Struthio camelus: one gene and its partner. The protein of the gene in region 1 interacts with the protein of each later gene in a pairwise test. Links are inferred from orthologs where the notes say so. Each region holds a gene or a part of one and is shown on either strand. Other genes may lie near its edges. The genes, in order: GRIPAP1 and RAB4A.

The links.
Region 2: the proteins of GRIPAP1 (region 1) and RAB4A interact in binary tests that used the Homo sapiens proteins (3 or more experiments, as listed by UniProt). The link is inferred for Struthio camelus from reciprocal best matches to the Homo sapiens genes GRIPAP1 and RAB4A.

The regions. Positions count from the first base shown.
Region 1 is NC_090979.1:320,728-335,532, forward strand, and holds the start of GRIPAP1 (GRIP1-associated protein 1), read left to right. Parts: upstream 1-8,760; 5' UTR 8,761-8,996; coding exon 8,997-9,038; intron 9,039-9,144; coding exon 9,145-9,211; intron 9,212-9,513; coding exon 9,514-9,575; intron 9,576-9,659; coding exon 9,660-9,686; intron 9,687-10,261; coding exon 10,262-10,369; intron 10,370-10,965; coding exon 10,966-11,116; intron 11,117-11,567; coding exon 11,568-11,656; intron 11,657-12,645; coding exon 12,646-12,681; intron 12,682-13,042; coding exon 13,043-13,074; intron 13,075-13,179; coding exon 13,180-13,227; intron 13,228-13,337; coding exon 13,338-13,437; intron 13,438-13,836; coding exon 13,837-13,920; intron 13,921-14,805. Other genes in the region: CCDC120 (coiled-coil domain-containing protein 120), read right to left, coding at 379-427; TFE3 (transcription factor E3), read left to right, coding at 1,889-2,019, 3,452-3,640, 4,107-4,374, 4,724-4,918, 5,070-5,171, 5,486-5,585, 6,123-6,179, 6,450-6,525 and 2 more. UniProt on the Homo sapiens protein: Regulates the endosomal recycling back to the neuronal plasma membrane, possibly by connecting early and late recycling endosomal domains and promoting segregation of recycling endosomes from early endosomal membranes.
Region 2 is NC_090944.1:91,382,856-91,397,330, forward strand, and holds the start of RAB4A (ras-related protein Rab-4A), read left to right. Parts: upstream 1-6,647; 5' UTR 6,648-6,862; coding exon 6,863-6,893; intron 6,894-14,475. UniProt on the Homo sapiens protein: The small GTPases Rab are key regulators of intracellular membrane trafficking, from the formation of transport vesicles to their fusion with membranes.

The DNA of each region.
Region 1 (14,805 bases):
GCACTGCAGGTTGAGGGCAGTGCCGGGGGGGTCAGGGGGCACCACGAGGTCAGAGGGCAGCAGGGGTGTGAGGGGCACCCCCAGGGGTCAGGGGGCACCACCAGAGGTCAGGGGGCACCGCCACTGGGGGTCAAGAGGGCACAGAGGGGTCAGGGGGAACCGCCAGGGGTCAAGGGGCAACCGCAGGATCAGGGGGCGCCACAGGGTCAGAGGGCAGCGGGGGTGTGGGGGGCACCACCAGAGGTCAGGGGGTTTCCCTGGAGGTCAAGAGGGCACAGTGGGGTCAAGGGGCAACTGCAGGGTCAGAGGGCGCCATGGGGGCAGGAGGGGGGACGCTGGGGGAGGGTTGGGGGCACGGCGGGGTCGGGGGGTTCCTACCTGTGGGGCTGTAGGCGCCGGTGGGGAGGACGTGGCCCCTCACCTCCATGCTGGCGGGTGCCGCAGGCCGGCACCCATGAGCCCCGCGCCGCGCTGCGCCCACTGCGTCACCGGGGGCCCAGGTGTCCGGGGAGGGGCCCAGGTGTCCAGAGAGGGGACCCAGGTGTCCGGGGGGCCCGGGAGACCAGGGAGACCCAGGAGACCAGGGGGACCCAGGCGGCCGGGGAAGGGACCCAGGCAGCCGGGGAAGGGACCCAGGTGTCCGGGGAAGGGACCCAGGTGTCCGGCTCCCCCCTCGCCTCCGCCCCGGCTCCCAATTTCCGCCTCCCGCTTCCGCCTGCCAGGCCCCTCCCCCGGGGGCCCAGGCGTCCAGGTCACCCCTCCCCCCCCCCGATCTAGGTGTCTGGAAGACCCCTCCCTCTCCCCCTCCCCATAAGGGGCCCAGGCGTCCGGGTGTCAGTTCCCCCCCTCAGGGACTCAGGCATCCAGGTGCCCCCCGCAAGGGGCCCAAGTGTCCGGGTGTCCCCCCCCCAAAGGGACCCAGGCATCCAGCCCCCCCCATCCATGGGGCAGTGGGGGGGAGTCCTTCCCACAATGCCCTGGGACCCCCCAATATCCCATCATGCCCTGGGCCCCTGCCCCCCCCATCCCTTACCTCAACCCGGGGGGGCTCCGGCCGAGGGGAGGGAGTGCGGCAGCGCACACACGTGTCCAGGAGTCGCACACGCGTGTCTGGGGGGGGTCACACACGCGTGTGGTGGTGGTGCCTGCAGGTCCGGGGGAGGTCAGGGGGCCGGTGCCCCCCCCCGGCCGGTCCCGGGGGGGGGAGGGTGCATGGCCCGGGGCGTGCGACACGCGTGTGCGGGCGGCGGCCGGGCAGGCGGCACGGCGCAGGCGCGCACACGCGTGTGCAGGGCGGTGGCGGGGGGGCACACGCGTGGGGGGGCAGGCGGACGCGGCAGCCTGAGACACCAGGACGGTGGGGGGGAACCCAAGCGTCTGGGAGAGGGGCCCAGGCGTCCGGGTGGGCCCAGGCGTCCGGGGGAAGGGGCCCAGGCGTCTGGCCTCCCCCCACTCAGGGTCCCCCCTGTTGTCCCCCCCCCGTGATGTCACTTCCTGCCCAGCTCCCCCCCCCCCCGCCACTTCCTGCCGCTGGCCTGCTCGGGCCCAGCCCTGGAGGCTCCTGCCCCACGGCAGCTCCCGAGACCCCCTCCGGCCCCATAGCAGCCCCCCAGGGACCCCCGCAGCCCCATAGTGGCCTCCCGGGACCCCTCAGCCCCATAGCAGCCTCCTCCTGCCCCATGGTGGCCCCAGCCCCATAGCAGCCCCCTGGGCCTCCCCACGGCGGTCTCGCTCTCCAGGCTCCCCCCAGCCCCATCGCTGGCCCTGTAGAGGCTGCCCCGGCCCCGCAGCAGCCCTGCCAGCCCCGTAGCCGCCATGCTGGCCCCATAGCAGCCCCCCGCCGCTCCTGTCAGCCCCGCAGCTGCCCGTTGGGCGCGGGGCGGGGGCGATGTCCCGCGGGGCGGCCGAGGGGGCCCCGACGGCGCCCCCCGGCCCCCCAGCGGGGCCGCCCCCCGCCCGCCCCGCTGTCTACCTGCTGCTCGAGGAGCCCAGCGCCCCCGACGGCCTCCGGCTGCTCAGGTGAGCGGGCGGCCGGGGCCCCCGGATCCCCCCGGCACCCCCCCGTCACTGGATCCCCCCAGGTCCCCCTGGATCCCCCCTCCCCATCGCTGGATCCCTCCTGGGACCCCTGACCCCCTCCGGACCCTCCCCTCGGTTACTGGGTCCCTGCAGATCCCCTAGATCCCTCCTGGGATCCCCCCAGCCCCCTTGGGACCCCCTCAGCACCCCCCCAATCACTGGATCCCCCCAGTCCCCCGGCCTCTCCCGTCACTGGATCCCCCCCGGGACCCCCCAGTCACTGAATCCCTTCTGGGACCCCCTGACCCCACCGGGACCCCCTGTCACTGGACCCCTTCAATCCCCCGGGATCCCCTCTCCCCATCACTGGATTCCCCAAGACTCCCCTGTCCCTTGTCACTGGATCCCTCCTGAGACCCCCCCCCCGATCCCCCGAGTACATCTCCCCAGTCGCTGGCTCCCCATGGATCCCCCCAACCCCACCCCACCTGTCAGCAGATCCCCGGGACGCCCCTGTTCACAGGACCCCCCGATCCCCTCCGGGATCCCCTTTTCAGCCACTGGCTCCCCTGGGATCCTTCCACGTCCCTCCGCTCACTGGGCCCTCCGGGTCCCCTCGAGACCTCCTTCCCAGCTACAGGATCCCCCAGGGACCCCTCAAATCCCCCAGCATCCCCCTGAGCTCCCCCCATCACTAGGTCCCCCTGATCCCCTCGGGGATCCCCTGCGACCCCCTTGGGACCCTTTCCTGAGTCACTATATCCCCTGGGACCCCTCCAGCCCCTCTGGGACCGCCCCCAGTCGCAGGATCCCTGGGATCCCCAGCAGTGCTGCAGGGCGGGGGGTTCGGGGGGATCCAGTGATGGGAGAGGTTCAGCAGGATTTGGGGGGGGATCCCTGGGGATCTGAGGGGGGCTGAAGGATGGGGAGGGGCTCAGGGTATCAGGGAACAGAAGGGATAGGGGGATCCAGAGAAGATCTGGGGGGATTGAGTGGCAGGGGAAGGCTTTGGGGGGATCAGGAGGGATCTGGGAGGATCTGGGGTGATTGGGGGGATCCAGAGGGATAAGTGGGGATTGGGGGACCCAGAAGGGATCTGGGGGGACCTAGGGGGTGATTTGGGGGGACTAGGAGGGATCCAGGGGGATCCAGGAGGTATCAGGGAAATCCAAACGGATGTGAGAGGATCCAGGGATTATGGGGGGGGGGGGTCTAGGAGGGAGCAGAGGGATCTGGGAGGGATTGGGGTGGTTGGAGGAGGATCCATGAAGGACCGGGGTGTTTGGGGGGATCTGGGAGGGAGCGGGGAGACCCAGGAGGGACCTGGGAGGGATGGGGGAGCGATGAAGGATCATGGAGGGATTGGGGGGGATCTACGAGGGATCCGGGGGGCACCAGGGGGGCGGCGGCGGCGCTGAGGCGTGCCCCACAGCGTGAGCTCGCCGCTGCCGGAGTCGGGGATCGTGGCCGACATCGAGTGGGAGCGCGGCCCCCCCGGGCCCCCCGGCTCCCCCCCAGCCCTGCCCGGCCCCGCCCCTGGACCTGGACCAGGCCCTGCCCCCGGACCAGGCCCCACCCCTGCTGCCTTCTGCTGCCTCAAGACCCAGCCCCTCCCACACAGGTAACCCCGCCCCCCACCGCGACGGCCATCTTCCCATGCCCCCATGCGCGCTGCCATCTTGCCCCATGTGGTGGCCATCTTTCCACGCCCCCACGCGCGCTGCCATCTTGCCCCATGTGGTGGCCATCTTGCCCACACCCCCACATGTGAGACAGCCATTTTACTCACGCCCCCCACGGACGCTGTGGCCCTCCTACCTCCTTCCTCGGTGGCCGTGTCTGCTCTCAGGCCCCCCACAGCCATTTCCAGCCCCCAGACCCCCATGGCAGCCATTTCCCCCCCCCCCAGACCGCCATGGCAGCCTCTTCCCTCCCACAGACCCCCAAGGTGGCCATTTTCCCTGCTCTGGCCCCCCATGGTGGCCGTTTTCCCTCCCACCATGGCCATCCTGTCTCGCTTGGCAGCCATCTTGCCACACCCGGCAGCCATCTTGCCACACCCAGCAGCCATCTCCCCCCCCCCCCAGAGGCTCTCTACTAACGGCCTCCCCCAGCCCCGGGCCGTCGGGGCCCCCCAGCGACACACCCGGGCCGGGCCCAGAGGCGGCCATGTCGTCGCGGGTGCTGCTGCGGCAGCAGCTGATGCGGGCGCAGGCGGAGGAGCAGGAGCGGCGGGAGCGCCAGGCCGCCCCGGGGCCGCCAGGGCCCCCCGCGCCCCCCACCCCCTCGCCCGCCATCGCTGTCGGCGCCCCCCTGCCCCGGCCTGCCCCCCACGTGCCCCCCGAGGTCCTCAAGGTCAGCTGGCGCCCTGCGGCATGGTGGGGTGGTGGGGGGCTGGGGCATGCTGGGATAGGGGAGGATGGGAGATGCTGGGGTGGGGAGGACTGGGGCATGCTGGGAAAATGGGAGGGCAGGGGATGCTGGGATAGAGGAGGACTGGGATGGCTCCAGTACATGCTGGGAAATTGGAGGTCTGAGGCATGCTGGGAAATGGAGGAGCCTGGTGCATGCTGGGAAGTGGGGAGGGCAGGGGCATGGGGGGAATTCAGGGCCTCAGGGCCCCCCCAGCCACCTGGATTTGGGGGATTGGGGGTCCTGCCCCACCCCACCCCCCAGATCCGGGGGGTGACGCAGCCCCGCGCAGGTGCAGACCCACCTGGAGAACCCAACGCGCTACCACCTGCGGGCAGCCCAGCGGCAGCAAGTGCGCCAGTACCTGAGCTCGGCCCTGGGGCGGGCGGCCGGCGGCCCCCCCAGCCCGCCGGGGCCCCCCGCCGCCCCCGCCGCCCCCCACAGCCCCCTCGCCCTGCTCCACATCGGCTCCGGCTCCGAGAAGGAGGTGGGTGCCCGCCCCGGCGATCCACACGATTTGAGAGCGCTTTGCACGATTTGGGGGAGTTTCATGCGATTTTAGGGAGGAGTAGTCTGACCCCTATCAGGAGGCTCCGCTGGGTTGTGACACCCCCCCGCCTTTCTGCCTCCTGCCCCAGATCGATGACGTCATCGATGAGATCATCAGCCTGGAGTCGAGCTACAACGATGAGCTGCTGAGCTACGGCCCTACCGAGGGCGGCCTGCAGCTGCCCAGCACGGTGCGTGAGGGGGTGGCGCTGCCCCTTTAAGGCCCGTGGGGGCCTGGTCCAGCCAGAGCCACGCCTCTCCTTGCTGGTTGGGGGGGGGGTGTGGCTGCTCCATATAAGGAAAGGAGACCGAAGACGGCTCAGGGGTTAACCCTGTGTCCATATATGGTGGGGGCATGGCCTGGGGAGGGGCAGGGGCGTGGTCTGAGTGGAGGCATGGCCTCAGCCCCATTCCAGCCCCCCCACGGGCCTGTCGGGGGGGGGGGCTAGGGGTGGGTGTGGCCTTGAGGGCAGGGCCCGACTGACCCCACCCCCTCACCCCTCAGCTCCCCGCCCCCGGGCCCCTCCTGGAGGTGTTCAGCCCCCCGGCAGGGGGCAGCAGCTCCTGTCCTGCCGAGCTGCCCCGTGTCAAGGCCGAGCTCTCTGGTAGGGAGGGGCTCCTGTGGGGCAGGATGGGGGCTAGGAGGGTCCCTGGGGGTCGCTATGGGGGAGGACAGGGGCTGGGGAAGGCCCCTATGGGATAGGGTGCCATCTAGGGGGGGGTCCCTTTGGGGCAGGATGATGTCTAGAGGTTTTCTATGGGGCAAGATGGGGTCTGAGGGTGTTCCTATGGGGCAGGATGAGGGCTGTGGGGGTTCTTGGGGGGCCCTATGGGGCAGGATGGGGTCTCTATGGGGCAGGAGGAGTCTAGTGGGGGTCTAGGGGGTGTTGCTCAGGGATAGGAGGGGTCTGGAGGAGGTTCTTCTGGGGCAGAGGTGGGTCTAAGAGGACTCCTATGGGGCAGGAAGGCAGCTGGGGGGGTCCTTGGGGGTCTGGGGGTTCTCTGTGGTGCAGGAGAAATCTAGGTGGGTCATTGGGGTCTTGAGGGGTGCCTATGGGGTAGGAGGGGCTCTGGGGTCCCTGGGGGAGTCCCCGTGGGGCAGGTCTGGCTGTGGAGGGCTGATGACGGTTTCTGCCCCCCAGAGACGGAGGCAAAGGCGCTGCTAAAGGAGCGACAGAAGAAGGACAACCACAACCTGAGTGAGAGCTGTGGGGCAGACTGTGGGGCTGGGGGTGTGTGGGGCAGAGCCATGGGGCTGGGGGGGAACATGGAGTGGGGCCATGGGGCTGGGTGGAGGCTTGGGGAGGAACCGTGGGGCTGGGGTGAGCTGGGGGGCAGATTTATGGGCTGGGGGATGTTTGGGGCATAGTCACGGGGCTAGGGGGGGCTATGTGGCAGGAGCCATGGGGCAGGGCTCGCCGTGGGTCGGGGCTCACTGTGGGGCTGACGTTTCCTTCCTCCCTCCCCAGTCGAGCGACGCCGCCGTTTCAACATCAACGACCGGATCAAGGAGCTGGGGACCCTCATCCCCAAATCCAACGACCCGTGAGTGCGGGGCCCAGGCATCCAGGCGGGACAATAGAGAGAGCCCAGGTGTCTGGGTGGGCACCTGAGGGACCCAGGCATCCGGGTGGGACACCAGAGGGACCAAGGTGTCTAGACGGGCACCGGAGGGACCCAGGCGTCCGGGTGCCCCCACAGGGAGATGCGCTGGAACAAGGGCACCATCCTCAAGGCCTCGGTCGACTACATCCGCAAGTTGCAGAAGGAGACGCAGCGCTCACGTGAGCTCGAGCTGCACCAGCAGCGCCTCGAGCAGGCCAACCGCAGCCTCCAGCTTCGCGTCCAGGTCTGGGGGGCCCTGGGGAGGCACCTGGGGGAGGCTCTGGGGCTGGGGAACACCTGGAGAGGGGTCTATGGGGCTGGAGGGCACCTGGGTGGGGTTATGGGGCATTTAAGTAGCTGCTATGAGGCTGGAGAAGCACCTGGGAGGGGTCTATGGGGCACTTAGGAGGTGTGCAGGGCATCTGAGAGGGGTCATGGGGCTGGAGCACACCTGAGAGAGGGCTATGGGGCATTTGGGGGTGTCTAGGGGGCTGGAGGGTCATCTGGGAGGGGTCTGTGGGGCACCTGGGGGGATCTGTGGGGCTGGGGTCACCTAGGAGGGTCTATGGTGCTGACCTACCTCCTGTGTCCCCCCCCAGGAGCTGGAGCTGCAGGCGCAGATGCACGGGCTCCCCCTGAGCCCCCCGGCGCCGGTGGCTGAGGGGGGCCGTGAGGAGGCCCCTGGGGGCCCCCCCTTTGCCCCGGCCGCCCCCCAGTGCCTGCTGGACCTGGCCCTGGCCGAGGAGCTGCCGCCGGGGCTGGGGCTGCCCCTGGGCCTGGGGGGGGCAGGAGGGGGCCTCGACGACATCCTCATGGACGACCCCGGCGAGCTCTCGCCCCTCGGGCCCCCCGGCGCCCTCCTGGCCTCCCCTGGGCCCTCCCGCGCTTCCAGCCCCCACAGCAGCCTCAGCATGGAGGACGAGGCCTGAGCCCAGTGCCGGGCAGGGCCCTTCGAGGGGGGTCCCCACCCGTTGCTTTTAAGGTGTCCCATGGCCCCTTTAAAAGCCGGCCCCGCCCCAGAGTGAAGCCCCGCCCACTCTCTCCGGGCACGCCCTGCCCCGCCCCTCAGGGAAGCCCTGGTCCCACTCCTCCAGGGAGGCCCCACCCACAAGCCCACAAACAGAAAGAAGCCCTGCCCACGAGGAGGCCCTGCCCCGGCTGGCCCCGCCCCCGCCGCCCCCCTCCAATGAGTGGGCTCCTGGGGGCTGGGCCCTCAGGCATGATGCCCCGCCCCTGCCCATCACCCAGCTAGCCCCCGCCCCTTAGAGGACTGGCCCTGCCCATTTATGGTGCCATCTGGCTGCATCACCCCACCCCCCCGTGTAGCCACGCCCCAGTGCTTGGCCACGCCCACCCGCCTCGTGTAGCCTCGCCCCCAGTTAAAGGGGCCGCGCCGCTCCCCTCCAGGGGGGGTGGGACTGGATCCAACCCCCCCAGCGCCCTGACCTCCCCTCCCCCCGGCCCCGATTTTGTACAAAAAAACGGAGAAAACTGTCGCTTGGGAGCGCCATGAAATTAAACATTTGGTAACGAGGCCCCGCCTCTGCCTCTAGCGAGGGGGGAGGGGAATGAGCGGCCTCGGGGCCCCCCTCCACCGGGGGCCTTATAGGCCTGGGGGGACCCTATGAGCCCTATAGGACTAGGGAGGTCTTCTTGGCTCCTGCAGCACCAGGGGGAACCCTATAGGCCCTATAGGTTTGGGGAGGGGGGTTTGCTCTGGGCCCTATAGCACTGGAAGAGTCTCTGCTAGACCTGCAGGACTGCAAGGATCCCTATAGGGCCTATAGCACCAGGGAGGCCTCTATGGGCCCTATAGATTGGGGAGGTCACTATGGGCTCTACAGTATCAGGAGAGACTCTATGGGTCTATAGCACCAGGGGGAACCCTATGGGCCCTATAGCACCGGGGGGGGGGGGCCCTCTGTGGGTCTTCTAGCACCATGGGGGACTCTACGGGCCCTATAGGTCTAGGAGAATCCCTATGGACTCTATAGCAATGGCTAGACCCTATAGGTGCAGGGGAGATCCCTATGGGCCCTATAGCACCAGGGAGGTCCCTTTGGGCCCTGTAGCATCAGGGGGTCCCTATTGGAGCCTTTAGCACAGGCAGCCATCTCTATGGTTCACTAGCGCCCCGGGGCCTTTCTCTCCGGCCGGGTGGACTCCATCTCCTTGGCCGCAACTTCCGGGCGGGGGCCGAGTGCGTTTCTTCTCACCGCCCCCTCCGCTCCTCTATGCTCCCGCCGCGCCAGAGCGTCCGCTTCCGGGCCGCCGCTCCCTCCGCCGGGCCGCCAGCGCGCCGGGCCGCAGCCCCGCTGCCCCCGGCTGTGTCTCTATGACCCGCCCTTAACGGCGCCCCCCCCAATCACCGGGCCGGTTTTCGCCCCTCCGACAGGGCCGGCGGTGCCAAGATGGCGCAGGCCCTGTCGGAGGAGGAGTTCCAGCGCATGCAGGTGGGCGTGGGGGGGCCCGGACGCCTGGGTCCCCTGGCGGGAGGGGGGCCCGGATGCCTGGGCTCCCTCCGCTGACCCCCCCCCCGCCCCCCCCCCCCCCCCCCAGGGGCAGTTGCTGGAGCTGCGGGCGGAGAATTACCGGCTCTCGGACGAGCTGCGCAAGAACAGCGCCGGTGGGCCCGGCCGCCGGGACCCCGGGGGGGAGGGGGGACGCCTGGGCCCCTTTTGGTGGGGTGGGAGGGGATGCTCAGACTTCTGGGCCCCCTAGAAAGGGGGCAGGGGGCATACTCGGACGCCTGGGTTGCTTTTGGAGGGGGTGGGAGGGGATGCTCGGATGCCTGGGTGTCTTTTGGGGAGGCAGAAAGGGATGCCTGGGTCCCCTGGGAAGGGGGATACTGGGATGCCTGGGCCTCTTTTGGGGGGGGTTGGGAAGGGGTGCCCGGATGCCTGGGCCCCTGACCCCCCGCCCCCCCAGAGCTGACGGGGCTGCGGCAGCGGGTGCAGGCGCTCGACAAGGACCTGGCCAAGGCCCACAAGGTGAGGCCCCTTCCTCTGTGACCTCTGACTCTGACCCTATCTGACCTCTGACCCTGGCTGACCCCTGACCCTTGTGTCTCACAGGCCCTCAGTAAGAGCAAGAAGGCCCAGGTAGGGTTGGGGGTGGGGCCAGGGCCCGAGGATGCTGGGGAGGGGGTCTCTGTGGGTGTGAGGGTGCTAGGAGGGGTCCCTGGAATCCTGGGGTGCTAGGGGGATCCCCCTGGGTGTTGGGAGGGTCCCTGTGGGGTTTGGGGGGTCCTTGGGGTTCCCATGGGTGCTGAGGGGGTCCTATGGGGTGCTAGGGGGAGTCCTGTGTGTGCTGGGGGGGTCCCTGTGGGGTTTGGGGGGGTCCTATGGGGTGCTAGGGGGAGCCCTGTGGGGTTTGGGTGGTCCTTGGGGTCCCCATGGGTGCTGAGGGGGTCCTATGGGGTGCTAAGGGGAGCCCTGTGTGTGCTGGGGGGGGTCCCTGTGAGGTTTGGGGGGTACTTGGGGTCCCTATGGGTGCTGAGGGGGGCCCTGGGAGGGTCTCGGAGGCCATGAGCACTGGGAGGGTCCGGGGGCTCCCTGCGGGTGCTAGCGGGTCCCCGCAGGCGCCAGGCAGATCTGGGGTCTCCGGGGTGTCAGTGGGTGCCGGGGGGATGTAGGGGGGCTCTGGCGGGGGCACCCACGGGCTGGGGGGCCGGCAGGAGGTGGAGGCGCTGCTGGGCGAGACGCGGATGCTGCAGGGCAAGTTGCAGAGCCAGGAGGATGACTTCCGCCTGCAGAACAGCACCCTGCTGCGTGAGCTGGCCAAGGTGCCCCCCAGCGCGGCCCCCAGCATCCCCACGGGGGCCCTGATGCCACCCCAGGGTGCCCCACCACACGGGTTCGGCAAGGGTGGGTGGCCCTTTGGGTGCCATCCATGTTGTTCTGTGGCTCCCCAATGCCACCCCAGGGTCCCTAGTGCAACCTGGGGGTCCCAAATCCCCTCTTAGGTGTCTTTGGGGGTCTCCAAGGCCACCCTGTGGTCCCTAGTGCCATCCTGGGGGGATCCCAGTGTTACCTGGGGGTCCCAAATCCCCTCTTAGGGGTCTCTGGGATTCCCCAATGCTTCCTGGGGAGTCTCTGGGGTCCCTAATGCCTCCTGGACGGTCCCTAATGCTATTTGGGGGTCCCTTGCACTCACTTGAGGGTCCCTGAGGGTCCCCAGTGCCACCCTGAGGGTGGCCAAGGCCCACAAGACCTTTTTGTCATTTTGGAGTCCCCAGTACCCACTTGGGGGTCTCTGGGGGACCCTAATGCCCCCTGGGGGAGTCCCTCATGGCAATTGGGGGTCCCCAGCACCTCTTGGGGGGTTCCTGAGGGTCCCCGCTGCCCCCCGGAGGATCTCTGACGCAGGGGCGGTCCGCAGCTCTGCGCCCAGATCGAGGGGCTGGAGGAGGAAAACCGGCGCCTGCGGGATGGGGAGTCCCCAGTGCCCCCTGGCGCCCCCCCGCCACCTGCTGAGGCCCCCCAAGATGGGGCTGGTGGCGATGGTGGGGCCCCCCCAGCGGCACCCAATGGTGAGAGGGTGCTCAGGGGTCCCTGGGGGGGGTCCCTTGGGGTTTGGGAGAACCTGGGGGGATTTGGGGGGTCCAGGAGGGGTTTGGGGTGGTCCCTGGGGGGGGTCCAGGGGGGATTTGGGGATCCTCAGGGGGTCCTGGGGGGTTCTGTGGGGATTTGGGGGGTCCTGGAAGGCTTTAGGGGGTTCCTGGGGGGGTCCAGGAGGGGTTGGGGGTCTCAGGGAGGCCCTGGGGAGGTTGGAGGGTTTGGGGTTCCCAGGGAGGCCTTGGGGGGGTTGGAGTGTCCCTAGGGGGATTTGGAGGGTCCTGGAGGAGTTTAGAGGGGTCCGGGGGGGATTTGGGGTCCCGGGGGGCCCTGGGGGAGTTTGGGGGGGTCCCTGGGCACCAGGGTGCCCCAAAGGCTATAGGTGCCGGCAGGGGGGGCTGTGGGGTGACCCCCAACACCCTGCAGCCCCCCAGGAGCCCCCTGAGGAGCCAGCAGCCGAGGAGGGGGGCCAGGGGGATGCCCCCCCTGCGGAGCCCCCGCTGCCTGCCCTGCAGGTACCTATGGGTCCTATAGGGGATAGAGACTTGCTATGGGGGGGCAATAAGAGGGTATGGAGCAGTTGGGAGGGTCTGGGGGAGGCTGTAGAAAACATAGATGAAGATGCATTAAATAGATGGGAAAATCTGAGGGAATTATAGTAGATAGGAATAATCCACGTAAGAATATGATTGCAGACTATTTAGATTAGTACAGAACCTAGAGAAAAAAACTTAGGTTTAACAAAGCTGCAAAAAAGTACTATGCAATCATATAGGAAATATAAGAAGAATGTGGGAGCATATAGGGAAATCAAGTGAAACACTGGAAGGTTTAGAGCAACATAGGGGATTAGAGTAAAAATATAGTAGCATATACCAGGATTGGATGAAATACGGGGCGATTTAGAGGGATGTTGGAGCACATAGAGTGCTTGGGAAGAATTGGGGTAATACAGAAAAATCAAAGAAGCATATGGGGAGAGAAGTATATGGGGAACATATAGTAAGCTAGGGTGGAAATGGGGAAAATGCAAGAAAATGGAAGAGTTTTAGGAGAATACAGACAATTCAAGATTCTTGTTTTCGTACAAGAAAAACATGGAGCTATTCATGGAAAATCAATTATAATATGGGTGTTTGAAAATAAGTATTGGAAATATAGAGCAAATATAGAATGAATATAGGGGATTTGGGAACAAAAATGAGATGATATGGGGAACTGGGGTGCAAATGGGGTATTTAGGGGCTTTGGAGACACAGGGATAGAGTTTGAGAGAAACGTGGATGATTAAGTGTGTTGGGGGGAAAATAGTATAGGGGATTTGGGGGAATGTAGGGGATTTTGGGGGGATTATAGGAGGTATGGGGAGAATCAATGACATTTGGGAGGGATATGGGAATTTTAGGGAGCGATTAGGGGACTATGAAGGATTGTGGTGGGAAGAAAGGGGAAATGGGGCCATATGGGGGGGTACAAGGGTCTCATGGGGGGGCTCTCACCCCAGGTGGAGGTGGCCCAGCTGCAGGCAGAGGTGGCCAAGGTAAGGGGGGATTTTGAGGGTCCCAGGGGATTTGGGGAGGGTTCAGGGAGTTTGGGGGCGTCCTGGGGGTCTCAAAGGCATTTTGGGGGGTTCCAGGGGAATTTAGGATGGCTGGGGGGGTCCTGAGGGGGTCCCAGAGGGTTTGGAGGGCTCCTGAGGGATCTTGGAGGGATTTTGGGGGGGTCCTAGGGGGATTTGGGAGGTCTGGGGGGTCCTGGGGGGATTTTGAAGGGTCCTAGGGGGATTGGGGGGGGTTCTGGGAGGTCCCAGGGGTTTGGGGGCATCCTGGGAGGGTCTCATATTTGGGGGGGAATTTGGGGGTGTCATGCTCCCCCACCAGCAGCGATTTCTCTCCCCACAGCTCACAGAGAAGCTGAGGAAGAAGCAGGAGAGGTGAGAGCACCTGGATGCCTGGGCCCCTTCCAAGGGGGGGCACCTGGACACCAGGATCCTTTCGGAAACGGGGTAAACTTTTTTTTTTTTTTTTGTCTCTTTCAGTTTCCTGCAGTTGCAGGCTGAGAAGGACGCCCTGTACAACGACAGTAGGTGGGCGGCCCCGGACGCCTGGGTCCCTGGAGGGGTGGGGGGGTGGGGGCGAGGGCAGGTGCCCAGATGCCTGGGCCCCCCGCCGGACGCCTGGGTCCCTGTGGTGGCAGGACAGAGGCGGAGGAGCTGCAGGCCCGGCAGGACGAGGAGCTGCAGGAGCTGCGGGGCCAGAACCAGCGGCTGCGGCAGGAGCTTGAGGCCGTGGCCCAGGTGGGGCTGGGGGGCACATGGAGGGCACCCCATGGTGTTGGAGGGGTCCTGGGGGCACCCTGGGGTGGCTGGGGAGTCCTAGGGGGCACTCTATGGCATTGGGGGGGTTCTGGGGCATTCTGGGGTGTCTGGGGGGCACCCCATGGTGCTGAGGGGGCCTGGGGGCACCCTGGGGTGGCTGGGGGGTCCTGGGGGCACCCTATGGCATTGGGGGGCTCTTAGGGGATGCCCTGTGGTGGCTTGGGGGCACTGCATGGTGCTGGGAGGGGGTCCTGGGGGGTACCCTGGGGTGGTTGGGGGCACCCTACGGTGTCTGTGGGGCACCCCACAGCATTGAGGGGGCCCCGGGGGCGGGTTGTGGGGCCCCGGTGTCCGGGTGGTGACGCAGCCCTGGCACAGGAGGCCTCGCGTGGTGCCGAGCGGGCGGAGGCAGCAGCGGCGGAGACAGAGGCGCTGCGTGCCAGCACCACCGCCCTCGAGCAGGTGCGACCCCTCTATGCCCCACCGGCCCCTATAGAGCCCTGCAGACGCAATCCTAGCACCCCCATACAGTGCTGTACAGCCCTGCCTGAGCGGACTGGGCTATGACGTCCTTTACAGCTGCATGATGCATCAGGTGGCCTGGTATAGCTCTATACATTCATATACAGCTCTATATGGGCTAGGTCAGGTTTATGATGCACCAGGCAGCCCTGTATGGCCTCATGCGTCCCTAAACAGCCCTGTGATGCCCTGGGGGGACTGGTATGGCCCCATACAGCACTGTGATATATTGGGTAGCTATACCACTCCGTATAGCACTCTGTGATGTTGGGCAGCTTTATATGTCTTTATAAGGTGCTGAGCAGTTCCTTATGGCCCCATATGGTCCTGGGACATGGGGGGAGCCCCACACAACCTCGTGACATGATGGGGAGTCACATATAGTCCTATAATGATCTTAAGGTATGCTGGGGAAACCCGTTCAATCATGTACGCTCCTGTATGGGTCTGTGATATGCTGAGCAAGCCTATAGAGCCCCATACAGTCCTGTGGCTTACTAGGCATGCCCATTTATTGTCCTATATGATCCTATAGAGGCTTATACAGTCTTATATAGCAGTGTGACACACTGGGCAGCCCCATATAGCCTTGTATATCCCCATATAGGCATGTGTAGCCGCATACAGCTCTGTACAGTGCCTTATGTTCCCGTGACACACTGGGAAGCCTTGCACAGCCCTATACGGCCTTGTATAGCCCTATATAGCCCTATATGGCCCTATACAATCCTATGTGGCCCCATATGCCCTCATGACATGCTAAGCTGCCCCGTGCAGCTCTATACGGCCCTATATGGCCCTGTGATGCAGCAGGAAGCCCCAGGT
Region 2 (14,475 bases), on another chromosome or scaffold:
GGAACAAAAAAACATTCAGCTGGCTTTAAAAGAGAAACGAGCGAGGAAGTCTTCTGTCAAAATCCAAAGTGCCATAACACCTACTGCAAAATATATCTGTCTCTTTCACCTTCAACCTTTCCTCTAAACAGCCAACTAGTAGTAACAGCTCTGTGTGGGTTTTGTTGACAGCAGCAGCTAGGAAACTAGATAAGATCATCAAACACATTTTATTTAAGCCATCGATAACAATATTCAGCCAACAATAACCTAGGCTGGATTCAAAGCCATGCCCATTCATTCAATCAGCATGTCAATTTGATGACGTAGAGCTTTCTTGCTTGTCAGTAATTAAAAAGAAGAAGAAAGGAAGCTTCTTTGTAGACCGTAAGTATTTTCAAATTCTTTTTTCCCCCAGGAAATCCTATGGAAAAAATAGCTACAAGGTGAAATTAGCTACAAGTTTATCTACAAGTGAAGGTGAAACAGGCAGAAACATATCAATGAAAAATCATGTATATGATCAGAGTCAGAACTGCATTTTGGAAACTGTAAGTGATTTAGTTTCTACAGAGATAGTGATACACTTAAGATCAGATATTCTTCCTTTAGACACTCTTGCACAATTTCTGATGAAGTGAAAGGACTGTGTTCATGTGTGTATTTGTGGGTGAAAATAAAATATGATGTGATCCTTCAGATTGTTATAGTCTCACATTTATTACCATAGCCATGTTTTACTTTACGCTCATTTTCAAAAATCCATATATGTAGTTTCATAACCTAACAGCAAAATAACAGCAAAAAGTACCAGATTTTAAATCTACATATCAATATTGGTCCACGTATGTGCTTTACTAGCTGGCTGAGCCTGCCCATGAATTGCGGAGAATGTCTAGCACTCCTCTTTGCAGCACCAGGAAGCTTGCATTCCTGATCCACATGGATCGCTTAGTCAGCCACCAGCAAACTGCAAGGCAAATTCTTTGCACTGTATACCAAAAATACTGTGTATAAAAAAAGCCATTTTAGACCTCTGATGCTCTGAATTTTCTGTATGTTTAAAAAAAAATAGAATCTGATTCCTTAACAGCTAATCAGTTCCTAAGAGATTTTTGTTTGTGAAATGTATACGATATACAAAGTACAGTGCCTCTCCTCCATCTGAGCAAGCAGGGACTGGAGAAAAGGATGAAGCCAGTTCCTCCTGGGGCGGCATTAGACACCTAATGTTTAGATACCTAATGTTAGGTATCTAAAAATTAGCTTTCTAAGCCTAAACTGGGCTCCCTCTGTAGTCAATGGACAGAAGGAGATCCATTCTGTCCTCAGACAGCTGATGAAGACGGTTGGGCTGAAGCACTCTGGAGCTGCCTCTCGTTCACTACTGATTACAGAGGGTGCCCAGACAACTGGCGTGTGTCTAGGCTACATCTGAATGAGGGACACGGGAGTACTTCCATGAGCCAGAGTCCAAGCGCATGGCTGCCTGCAACCCATACCACAGTAAAGTGCAGGCACTGTGGTACGTTTTGGACAGGTCCTTGATTCAGCTGGTTGGACCTTGGGTGCATGAGAGCATGCATCCACCTCGGTTCATCTGTAACATGCGACACGGCAAGCTGAATTCCTCCTTGAGCATGCAGCTCACAGACGGCTAACCCAGACAGACGTGCCAACTTTCTGAACCATCCAGGTGAACCGCACAAGTGGCAAATCACACCCCTGCCAAAAGCCAGCTTTGATTGCTTCCTGGTGCCACAGCCAAAGCAACCAAAACTGCAGAACTGAATCAAGACTGCTCTATTGCATCTTTGAGGATATTCACTTGAGAAACAGGATCTAAATGAGCCACGTTTTTATTGTATGTGAGTTCTCCTGAGCAGAGAGAAGTGCTGTGGGCTCCAGAGGGGAGCCCGTGTGGCCTCGAGTGTTCCTGAGCAATCTATTAACCAATCTTCTATTTCAAGTAAGTGATGTTAAAAACATCAAACACTTCAACCCTTTCCTATTGTTAAAAGTGAACAAATGCAGCCTGTTACATCCCATTATCACTGTATTATTCACCAGCAGAGCAGTTAATCAGTGACACCATGAGGCTGAATTAACAAAATACAGGTCAGTTTCACATAAATCTGTATGTTTTCCAGACATTGTATGTGTATAATACATTTTATAATATGTCCAAAATTTGTCTTCATTTTCCTGTGCCTCTCTTGAAATACAGAAAAAAGCATTTAGGCCCCTTCACTGTATTTACAGTGTTCCTGCAAAATTAAATCACTAGTTATTTTGAAAGCTATGCCCTATATTTTGATTTCCTTTTAAATATTTTTTCTATACTAGGCATTTCTCTTTTTAAAATAGGGCTTCTCTGTACCGTTGTGCTCATACAAGTGTGCTAAAAACTATTTCCCTGGACAAAGCACCTAAAAATTTTACGTAGTGTTTTGAAGACAAAAAAAGGACCCAACCCCACATTAGGGCAAATTTGCATTTTTGCATTCTAGCATAAGGTTATCCGAAAAGGAGCTTATCCCAGGATCTGGTGACTCTTCATGAATACTAAGTTCCCTTAGCTTACACAGCACTCCTGCAGTCACTCCAGTGTCTTCTTCCTACCACTGGTGACAAGCGTGATAAAAGGGAAAATACACCCAGCATACAGCATGCTGCACTCTAGCAGTCACCGCTGTCACTGTCGTAGCATAGCTTGTAGGCTTCCTATTTATTCTGGGAAAAGTTCACCACGGGGTAAGACAAAGGAGTTCAATGATAGCACCAAGCTACCTTTGCAGTCACCTTCTTCACGAGCTCCAGTTAGTCATGGCTAACTACTGAGGAACTAGCCCACGATTTTAGAAGCGCTCAACCCATAATTTTCCACGAGCAACCGCAATTACATCAATTGACAACTATGCTCATAGGCTGAGGGCAGCTTCTGTGGGAGCCGAAGATGACAGAGTTCAGATAATGCCAGGTGTTTTCAGGTGAAGTCAGCTCTCCAGTGGCATTGACTATAAGCAGGTCACCCGAATCCCTAAGGCTTCTCAGAGCATCAATCACCTATCTTCATATTTCATTTGGGCTGTCGGAGCCAAATTCATTGCTGCTCCAAATCCATCTTAGACCTACAGCTTCCACATACACTTGCTTGCTCTCTGCATTCAGCCCACAAGACAAGAAGGTGAGGCAAAACACGTTATTCCCCATTTTATCTGAGTCTCTCAGGCAGTCCATGTGCCACACAGCCTAAGAGAATTACTAGAGAAAACACACGTGCACCCCCTCAGCCTAAAGTAGTGCCTTTCACATATGGCCTTGTAGTGCCACCTTCAGACTAACCCAGGATATGTCCTATCACTCCCTTAACTAATAGTCCCTCCCACCTTTTAACTGCACTCCAACCCCAGCCAGAAGCTCTGAGTCCACAGTGCAGGTGGACACAAAACACTACCGAACTTCAGATCCAGTTTGAATATGGTTTGTCTATAATAGGGTGAAGGAAAACAGAAAGATCTGGCCAATTGCAATGCTAAGTCGTTGAAAGCTGTGTCCAAATTTGCCAAGTCCTAAAATTGGAATTATTTTAGTTTGGAAGAAAGAGCTTTCACAAAATATTCTGGCCTGAGTCTGCCTCTGTGGAGATCTTGATGGCCCTTTTCCACTCATGAGATATCAGACACTATATTTCTGATACACTGCCTAGTAAAACTTAGTTAAAAATTAGCTCAGCATCATTTTTAGCAAAACCTCAACATGACCTTCTGGGCTGCAATTTTACAACCGCAGTCAACTATAGGCACAATAATTGTGGTGAAACTAATTTGGGGAAGAAACGATAGGATTTAGATTTCACAGTTTGACATGTTATATCTCATTTTACAGGAGCCAGGAGTGTCTAGAGGACGTAACCAATAGAAAGCATAAATCAGAAGACAAGTTAAACATTTGGTTTTTGGTCTTCTTCACCCTCATACGCAAGATGATCATTCTCAGCTCTATCTATTTTGTTTTGATCACTCAGAAAGAATGGTTTTTATTAACAAACAGTAGCCTGTAGTCTCAAATTGCAGAGATCTCAGCTATGTAGTTCCTAACCTAGTGCAATCTTTTTCATTATTTCTGAAATTTTCTCTCGGTTCTCGTTTCCTCTTTAAAGTAGAAATATCGAAACAGCCAATCCTATCCGTCTCTCCTTTTTTTTCCTGTCTTTGCTTCACCAGAAATTTCTCCAGCGTCCCTCTTTCTCTTCATTATTACTAACAGCTCTCATAGAAAGCATTATTTTTAAAAAACATATTATTGGCATGTACATATCAACTAACTGGGAGTGCCTGGAGGCAAAAAAGTATGATATTAGTATCATGACTTATCTATCAAATATAACCTCCATACAGGCAAACTCATCTTGCAAGATACACAGTAAAAAAAAAAGATCAGACAGGATTAACTTGTTTTTTTAGCCTAAAGTACTGCTTATACAGTACAAGATGTTTAAATTTCCATTCCTTTTTTGAAACAACTTAACAAATTTTTAATAACCTAGTAAAATCTGTCTTCTTCTGTGCTAAACAATCTTAAAATTGGAATTTAAAATTTAATTTTTTTAGAGAAAAAATAGCCCACATCTATCAGGGATTCAGTGATATTAGACCAAACTTCTTTATGGCCTAACCTCACCCTCAAAAGTATCATCATTTGGGGGAGATAGCTTTCAAAGCTCTGGTCTGTGACACTGGGATACAGCTCCTGTGAAAGCTCCCCTAGCTTCTTCTATTGCTCTGGAGAACGGATGCCCTGGGGCAAATGCTCACATGTGACATTTTGGGCCTCTATATGTAGTGTCTTCTGGCTGTGACAGCTTTGGGAACCTGTGTATATAACTAATTACTGTTAATATTACGAATTTATTATGCAGTTGGCTCTTTGAAAATTGCTGGAACAAGTTTCTTTGTCAATGTCTATCCATGGCATTAAAATAATCAGCAGATTCTCTGAGAGGTTTTTAATGTTGGCCCACCATGTATTGTTTCACTGATTAGAGATAGAAACTTAAAAGCTGACCTTCGACCAGTAGCAGACTCAGTAAGGAAACGGCTGGGAAGGGCAGCGGCAGTTTTTCCTACTGTTTGGGAGATGATAGAGAAATGGAAAGAATGGCAAGTTGTGAGCAATAAGATTAAAAGGCCAGAAATAACAGGGGAATTTTTAAAAGGGGTGGTAGAAATAAGAGCGTGAAGGGACACACGGGAAGCGTTGTCGTGGGAGAGAAGAGTTGGAGGGGCTCTCGTAGTGGAGGATCAGTCTTAGTGCCTCTAGCTGCCACACTAACCAGGATCACCGGAGACAAACCAGGCTGGGAGTTAGTAAGACATCAAAGAAAGAATAACATAAATCAAGTGCTATTGCACTCAGGAAGTTTATTCATTTCAACAGTCTGAATTTTCTTGGGGTTTATCTTGGAGGTCGGAAAAGCACTGGTGCAGTCAGCTCTCCGAAAAACAAAACCCTGTCTGTTAGCTTATACATATCACCACGTACCTCAAAAGGATATACGGCAAAAGGCTTAGCCCTTGACTGAAATGGGGGGAAAGTTTTTTGGGGAAGGATCTTAACGAGTCTAGAACAGATGCTTTAGGACAAAAAGTTGGACAGTGGAATACAGTTTTCAGGAAGGACCATCACAGGCAGGTTCTGTACCTGGGGAAAAGCGTTTGCAGACTTGCTGGCAGGAAAATTAACTGGAATCGGCTGAGATCCCAGCAGCTCAAAAAACACCAGAATTCAGGGACTATGCCCTCTGACAGCCGTCTGACAAGTCGCCAAACAGGAGCACTCAGCTCCCAGGAGGAATGGCCTCAGAGGCTACTATTTTCCAGAAAGAACTGAAGGGAATTTTTTAATCATCAGTTCAACTTCCAGCACAGACATCAGAATGGAATGGGATATCTTTAAATAATGGAGTTTTCTCTGGACAAGGAAAACGTTAAGATTATTCAAGCCTTAGAAATCAACATGACCTCAGCGCATGCAGAACTGAGGCGTCTGTTATCTTGGCAGAGTTGCAGCTAGCCCCACCATCGCCCACACTTTGTGGGTACAGCTGTCTCGTATACCCGGGACTTCCAGGACAGCTACAGCTACTACGCACTGGGCTACCGCACAGCAGAGCGGCGGTGAGGCCGTGTTTCCTAAATGTCTGTGGCCTATCGGGCGCACACCCTGCGACCACGGAGGAAACGGAGCACGTTTCGGGGAACCTGCGACCAGCCTGCCACCCACAAGTTGTACGCCCGACTTGTGTTAGCTCTGGCAGCCCCCAGGGCTTCCTGATGCAGCCCCAGATGGAGTACCAGAACAGCCCTCTGAGACTGGGGAAAACAGAGAGCAGGGCTAGGACGAAGAGCTCCCAGGGAGCAGACAGAGACGAGCCCACACTCGTGCGACATGGCGGCCACCACCGGGGTAGAGCAGCCAGTCACGTGGGCCGCCCTCGCGCCCCGCCCCCCAACGGCTGCGCGGCGCCGCAGCCCCGCACGTGCGCCTTGTTTTGGTGACGGCCGTTGGAAGGGGAACGGCGGGGAGGCGGGGCTGCGGGGCATGAGCCCGGCGCGCCTGCGCAGCGAGGCGGCGCTCTTCCCCCCCCCCCCGCCCCACACCTCGGCCGCCGCCGCGAGGGGCGGAGGCCGAGGCGGCTCGGACGCGCATGCGCGGTGGTGGCCGTTGCTGCCGTTGGCGGCTGGGCTGAAGCGGCGCAGTTGGTGGTGGCGGCGGTGGTTGCTGCTGTTGCGTGGACCTGTCCGTCTCCCCCCCGGCCTGCCCCCTCGGTTCTGAGGGGCCGCAAGCCTCTGCCGGGGAGGGGAGACTCGCAGCTCCCAAAATGTCGCAGACGGCCATGTCCGAGACCTACGGTAGGAGCCGGGGCCCGGGCGGGGCAGGCGCTTGCGCCCCCGGGGAGGGGTCGCTGTGAGCGGGAGACCCCCGGCCCGGCGGTGCGGCTCTTCCCCAGCGGGGGCCGGGGCCGGGCCGGCCCAGCCCAGCGCGCGGGCGCTGGCTAGGGAGCGAGGCTCGCCTCCGCCGAGGCTTTGAGCCGGGGCCGGCTCTGAACCGCGGTGTTTATTCCCGAGCCCTAGCGGGTGAACGAAGTGTCAGTGTGGTAAAGGTTGTAGCAAAGTGTCCCCCGCCTCTGGCGTTGTGCTGTTGACTGTGCCGAGTTAATCACCATCTGGAGTAGGAAGCTATGGCCCTTGCTGAAGAAAGCAGAGAAGAGGTGGTAGATCAGGGACTGATCCAGTGTGGCATGAGTTTTGAAGTTCTAGGCTATGGTAGCTGTTTGGCCTTATGCTTCAGACAGGCTTCTTGCCTTCTGGTTTGTTTGTTTTTCTTTTTTTCCTACTCTTTATTAGCAATGTTCACTACAGCCTATTACTCCTCCCTCTGTTGTCCAGCTCACACTGATGTGATAGTGCCTATTCAAAATTATTTTTCAATGTTGAGAAGTATTGATGACTCAAAAGGTAAGTAAAATACTAGCCAGAAAATTTAGGCACTACTTCTTTGTTATCTTTAAGTTAATTCAGAAGGAAAATTGCAGTGCATGCCCTCTAGGACGAAGCTGCTTTTATTGTAAAATTGGGGACAGTGTTCTTTTGAGGGTCAAATTAGGATTGTAGTCTTATTTTCCTAGATACACAAACATTAAAAAGAAGAAACTGTGAGGGTGAGTAAGTAAAAAAAGAACTAAAAAGTTTGTTCATCTCTGTATTAGCATGGACATCTGACTACTATGTGGTGTTTCCTATGAGCATTATAGCAGAAAAACATCTGAAGGCGTAAGTCGTAAGAGTGCAAGCTCTGGTGGGGTGAGTCAGTGCATTAAAGGCACATCAATGTGTGGAGTCCAATAGGTAGGTAGAGCTGATACTGCTGGCTGGGTGGAGCATATGGGAAGTGACTGGATAATATTCATTTCTCGTGTTTGTAACTTTGAGTTCTTGAATCAACCTCGTATGTTTTTTCTCTTTCCATAACATAGTTCTGTATCCTGTAATGCTTTTATTTACTGTATAAAAATCCTGTCATACCTCTAAATATTATTTTTAGAGTCCCTGTGTTGGATTGCTGGAGGATGAGATTGGAATTGGATATACTGTGATGAGCCCTTTAATTTCTCGTTTTCTGGCTTTGTCTGTTGCAGACTGTTATCCTCAGTAATTGGTTGAGCTTGGGATCTGCACTTGTGTCTCTCTGTCTTTAGAGCAGAATCCTGATAAATAATATATAGTTTGGATAATTATAGTGAAATTAGATGCGGCAAGTCGACTCACTGCTAAAGCTTGTTGATCTGAGGGAGACTGGCATCACTGTCAGTTCTTATTAGTAGGCTAGCTGATCTTATTGTTACTGTTGTATAAGTCTCTGTATATTTTCAGTAGCCTGGTCAGGAGTGCTTAGGGTACTTTGTCCCACTATGATGAGTGTTTCAGTATACGGGAAAAAGCACAGAACTACTGGGGAAAATGAGGCAAAAGTGCGGGGCAGCCCTTTAAGTGCAAATGTTAGGATAGCAAGACCCTGTTTCTTCTTTTGGTGTTTTCTCCAAACAAGCAAAACGCATGCGTAGAAATCAGGCCAAAGAGATGTGCTTTGTTGATTTAGATGTGAGTTTGAGCTAATTCTTCATGCTCTGAGCTGTTGCAGTTAAGGATCGAGATCGCTTTGGCTATGTTTATGGTGGGATTTGTAGTCTTTAAGCAGATGGATGGGTAGACAACCAGCGATGATAGAGATAATTCCAGCAGTATTCCTTCTTAACCTGCTTGCTATTACAGCATCAAGATAAATAATTGCATCTTAAACAAGTACATTTCAGCACTTTTTGCATTGTTCCAGTGAGTCAAAATAGTTTTAAACCCACTAGCATTGCTGATACTCTCTGATTGTTTTGATGTCCTAAAAACACACCCTTGAAATTGAAGAGTTTGGGTTATTGTGGTGTTCTAAAGAGGTGGTGGGGTTTTCGGTATATTTCTCTTTTGAATGTCAGTGATTGTTCTGTTTATATACATCAAGCTACAGGAATTCCGAGCTGGAAAACTGAAGATAATGGCATGATTTAGGATAAATGGAAGAACAAAAAATGTAAGCTATGAGATGACGTAGAATTTAACAATAGCTGTACTATCTGCAACCAAGGCAGTAACCAGTATGCAATTTTACAATGTCCTGTTGGTGCTTTGGAAAGACCATAAGAACAGGAAAAGTATATTTGATGCTTTCTCTAATATTCTTCAGCCTCCAGCTATTTTCACCTTAGTAGCTTTGAGTCAGGCATGGTGTCTGTTTAAAAAAACCCTCTATGGCTTTTTTCTTCCATGTATTTGTCTAATCTTTCCTTGAACTCAAATAAACTTCTTGCAGTCACTGCATCTGTTGGCAGGGAGCTACCCACATAAACTACCCATTCAGTGAAGAGCTATCTCCTCTTGTTTTTTGAGTTGTATTTGATGACTCTTAGATCTTCTAATGGAACAAGAGTGTGAGATTTATCTCTGTCTTCCCACTTTGTGCCATTCAGGATTTCATAGATCTAAATGGTATTCCATATATTTCCCTCCCCCGCCCCCACCCCAGACTAAATAACTTGTTTAGTCATTCCCTCTCTCGAAGCTGTTCCATATCAGTGATCATCTTTTTTGCCCTTTTCTGAAGCTTTTCCAGTTCTGTGGGGGGGGGGGGGGGGGGGGGGAAGGTGTTTGTTTTTGTTTCCTTTCCTTTCCAGATCTGGGTGAAGGGGAAGGTAAGAACTGAATCTTGCATCCTACCTCTTGACTGGGTGCTTTACATCTGTCTCTTTATGATATCTGGACTTAGATAAGCACTGAATTTCCTGGGATCTGGAAAATTTGCTACTAGCATAGTTAAACTAATTGAGTTGGATTTCTTCCATCTGGACAAAAGCCTGCTGATGAGTGGTGTAATAGAAATATACAAAATCCTGGGATGCGTGTAGAGAATGGGTGGGAACTTACTATTCACTCTTTTCTTTCTCGTGGAAGTAAGGAGCATCATATGAAGCTAGTAGCTAGGTTTAAAACAACAGGAGATGGTTCTTTAGGCAACTAACAGTAAGTATATGGAACTTGGTGCTGAAAGATGTGTATGTTAAAAATCCAGCAGGCTGGGTGATTTCATGGAAGAAAAGAAAAATCATTGAAGGCCGCTAAATAGACCCTGCCTTAGGCTCAGGAGGTCTCCTGAGTTGACTGTATTTAAGGACTGAGAGGGAAATAGGGACAATATCATGACATACTCACCTATTCCTGTATCATTCACGAAGCATTTACTTATGGGCACTGTTCCTGTTGGGTTCCCATTAAGGACAAGCTCCCCTCTGGGTGAGCTACATATCAATTCTCATAGCCTCCCTGAAGCACAGAGGTAGCAAACAAACCAAGGGGAAGAAAGTGTATTTGGGGGACAGTGACTGTAATAGGGTAAGAGTCAGAGAGTCAAAACTGAGCAGAGGGACTTTCAAGAAGAACACCAGTCATTGCCTGCAGCTCCCTGTATCCAAGATGATAGTGGCTTTTACCCAGTGGTCTTGCTTAGAACTGTGAAAAGTCAAAGGAACAAAAACAGGCCCCACAGTTGCTGGGATCTGTCCTACAAAGCTTCTTCCTCTTGGTGCTCTGGATGGTTGGCTAGGTCCGGGCCAGATGAAGGCTGACAAAAAAGTTCTGCAACTCAGTGGTGCTTCAGAAGACTGAATAAAAATGCAAGCCAGGTGGAAAGCAGCAAGAGTCTCAAGAAATTTTGGAGGAGGAACTGCAGCCCAGCGCAGCTGATCAGTTTTGCAGAAGATGGACCCTTGATCTGATACAATAAAGCCAGTCTTATGAGCTTGAACCCCCTTGAACAAAGGAGATAATAGAACCTGTGTTTTTGTAACTTGTGTGTACTTTGGCCTCTTCATTTTGGGCTAAAAAATGTAAGTCTGCAGCAGCGCCACTCTGTAATTTTAAAATAGACTTTTCTGTGTTTCATGTTAATCAGTAAATCTTTTTTAGAGTATGCTTATTGACCAAACCCGTCCATGGAAGTAGGCAGGAGAATGCTGCTTTCTGGATCCTGTTCAGGGTTAAGCCATGTGCCAAGCTCTCTGAGGCACTTCAGGGTGTCATTAGAGAAAGAGCATTAGCATTCTCCTTGAATCTAATGTAAAAAATTTAGCTGCCTAGGCAGCTGGAACAACTTTGCTGAACAGTTTTTGGTGTTTAGGTATCATGTGCAGCTGTAGTTTTTAATACTAAGTTGATTTGGTAGACAGTTGTAGTACAGAGAGCTAATCAACTCGGTTTCTTCTTTTTTAAATAGAAAAAAAGAAATCCCACCCTCATGGATTTGTTGAATCATATCCACGGATATTTTAGAAGCAGCATGATCTAATGGGCTGAAGATCAAAGCAGGAATCAAAATTTTGTGTGTTACAGTTCCAGCTGTGTCCCTGATTTGCTCTTGCACAGAGATATATCGAAGTGCCTGTTCTGCGTTCTGATAAAAGCAATGTTGAAGGCTTAAAGTTAGTGCGATTTGTGCCCTCTTTCTCCACCCTGTATTGGTTCTGCACTATAGGTCTGAGCATAGGCTGGTTTTACCAAGTTTTCAAACAGTATTGCAGCCCCGCTGTTGAAAGCTTTAGCAAAGTTAATGAATGTAGTTAAATCCAGCCTAGAAAACGAAGATGAACCCAGCATGCGTGGGACAAACATTGTAAGTCTTGTCTTCTGATGTAATTTTTATGGTGTATAAGGGCTAGATCTAAATGCAAGGCTGCACTGGTTTAAACCCCATAGAGATGAATCCGTAACAGACTTGTCTCATGCTGGATGGGTTTTTATGACAAGGTGTGTCCACATGCAGGGCACTGATGCATATATTACTGTATGTCGGTTGTTCCCTAATAGCTTTATATCTGGACGCCTGTATCCTGAGAAGACTGCAGAGTAATTCAATGAGAGAAGGATAAATGACCTCAACGTTTGCTGCACAAGCACAATTATATCAGTGTACCTGATGCAGAGGAACTTACTTGGGTGTCAGAGCCCACACTGCTTGGGCTAAGCTGCATATGCATCTTTCTTAAACGTCTGCAATTTATGCAGCTGTGCCGCAGGGAGTTTGAGACTGCAACTTGAGGCAAAGTTAATGGGAAAGTATAATCAGATAGAAGTTTGCAGTCCGCTGGGAGCTAGCAGCCTACAGCTTTTAGTAACTTCTCTGCCTGCCTACCGCCATCTCAGATAATATAGCTGACAATGTGAATGCAAAATAAAACAGGTTTGCTTGAAACAAAACAAGTGCTTTATAGTCCTTTCTAATACAAGAACAAAGATAATTTGAACTCTTGCATGGTTAGTTGCTCTGCCTCAACTAAGGGGTCGTAACTATTTTAACAGTTTTGGTTGGGTGACCGTTATTTTGGGGGCTGTGCGTTAGCTGTCAGCTCAACATTATGAGAGAAAGTGCAGTTTGCGTACTCTGTATTTGCTAGCTACATATAAACACAACATTTCCCCTTTTGGGTAATAACTTGGAACAATTAACTGCAGAATGGTTGGGGATAGCATCTCATGGTAATTAGAGAAATCTAAATAAACGTTTTGGCTTGCTGAGAAAGCAATTCACATAGTGTATTTTTAAGAGTTATTTAGAAGAAAATTGCCTCACCCTCTTCCTTTCCAAGATAGCCAAGTTAGCCAAGCGTTTGTTGCTGTTGCCGAGAGTTACTGTGGAAATCTTTAACTTATAGATTAATTTCCATTTAAAAAAATATTCTTATACTTAGTAAAACTATTTTATGTAACTAACTATGTTGTGTTAACCTCAACTTTGATTTGAAAATTACATAATCAGTTAGCTCAACTGTGTTATTTTAGGAAGATCTCTGCAAGACTTCTGTTTAATAGTAATATTGTAAATTGCCTGCAGTTGGAGTGATAATCCCATGAGGAAGGGTACTTCTCCTTTCTCTTGCTGTTGCCAAATGCCTTTTAAAATGGTCTCTATGTTTTAATTTCATGGTTTTATTCCATTCATCGTTTTTTGAGGCTTTGGTCACGATGGTATCCAGGATCCTTGGGAGTACTGTCATGAGTACAAATGATGTTTAGGGAAACACTCCTGTTCCCCAAGGAATGGGGCGGGGGGTGGGAGGGGTGGGACTAGTATGGCAGTAAACCCATCATCCTCCAACTATGATGCTTGTAGCAATGGGAAGTGAAAAGTTGTAGCAGAATTGGATACCAGAGTGAGTGCAACGTTATCAGCAACATTTTACTTGATTTTTCTACCAGTGGAGCGCTGAAGCTTGGAGACCCATAGAACTTAGTGCCGTGTTCTGGAACAGCTTGTGAGATGGACTGATAAGAAAAATAGTGCTTATGTTTTCAGATTTTAATGGCTGCTTCATGTAATTGTTTTAAATTTATTTGCATCATTCTTCTCTTTACTGGTAGTCTTTAATTCTTTATATCTAAGTCTATTAATGCTACTTTAAGTCTAATAGGCTTCATCAGACAAACAAACATAGCTCACTTCTAATATATCACCATAGTACCTCTCCTTTCTCTGTGATGTCTCAATATGAGAATGTGATGGCTGAAAGTTTTCTTCAGGAAGCTATAATATAATGAATAACTAATGGGATTTTTCTCTTTAGTAGTGTGCACTTTCCCTCCTCCCCCAAGTTTCAGCTCCATTTGGAGTGGTAAAATGAGACTGGTAGGGTATGGAGGTGAGGTATACACTGAAACAAGCAAGGACTTTTACTGTGCTAGTATGACTAGTATTTAGCACAGAAGTAACTTCAAAAAAAGTTTGTTTAGAAAAAAGATGTAGAGTTAAAATATTTTAGGCTGGTACAAAAATGATGAAGCCCATGAAGAAAAACTGAACAACTTGATCTTCCAAGGAGAGGAGGAAAGAAAGGCTCCGTGTATTTTTCCCCGTAACTATATACAATGCTAGTCCTGTTTCAGCACCAGGTCCTGGTTCTATAGTGTATGCATATTAAAGCTCACTTCGTTCTTCTCTAATCTTGCATTTGTTTCATGTCCAGTACATCATGAACTAAGACAATACCGTAATTTGCAAAAACCTTTGAACTTCTGTGGCTTGGGGTGGTATTTTTGTTTTTTTGTTTTCTTTTTTTCGAGGTGGGGGGATGAGGAATGTTTGTTCCTGAACTTTACGAGATACATATTTAAAACTAGTGCTTAGGAATAAGTGAACAATTTTTAAAAAAGGCTACGGTGTATCTAACTGCATATCGTCATGGAAAGAAAGAATGAGAACCACAAATGAATAAAACTACATTTTTGTCTCCCTTGATGGGGGGGGGAAGATACTTACTACCTCCTAAATGAGCGCAGAGTATTTGCTGCTAAATCCCCTTGTAGTCTGTTATGCAGACAGTCTTATGTTAAGAAACTA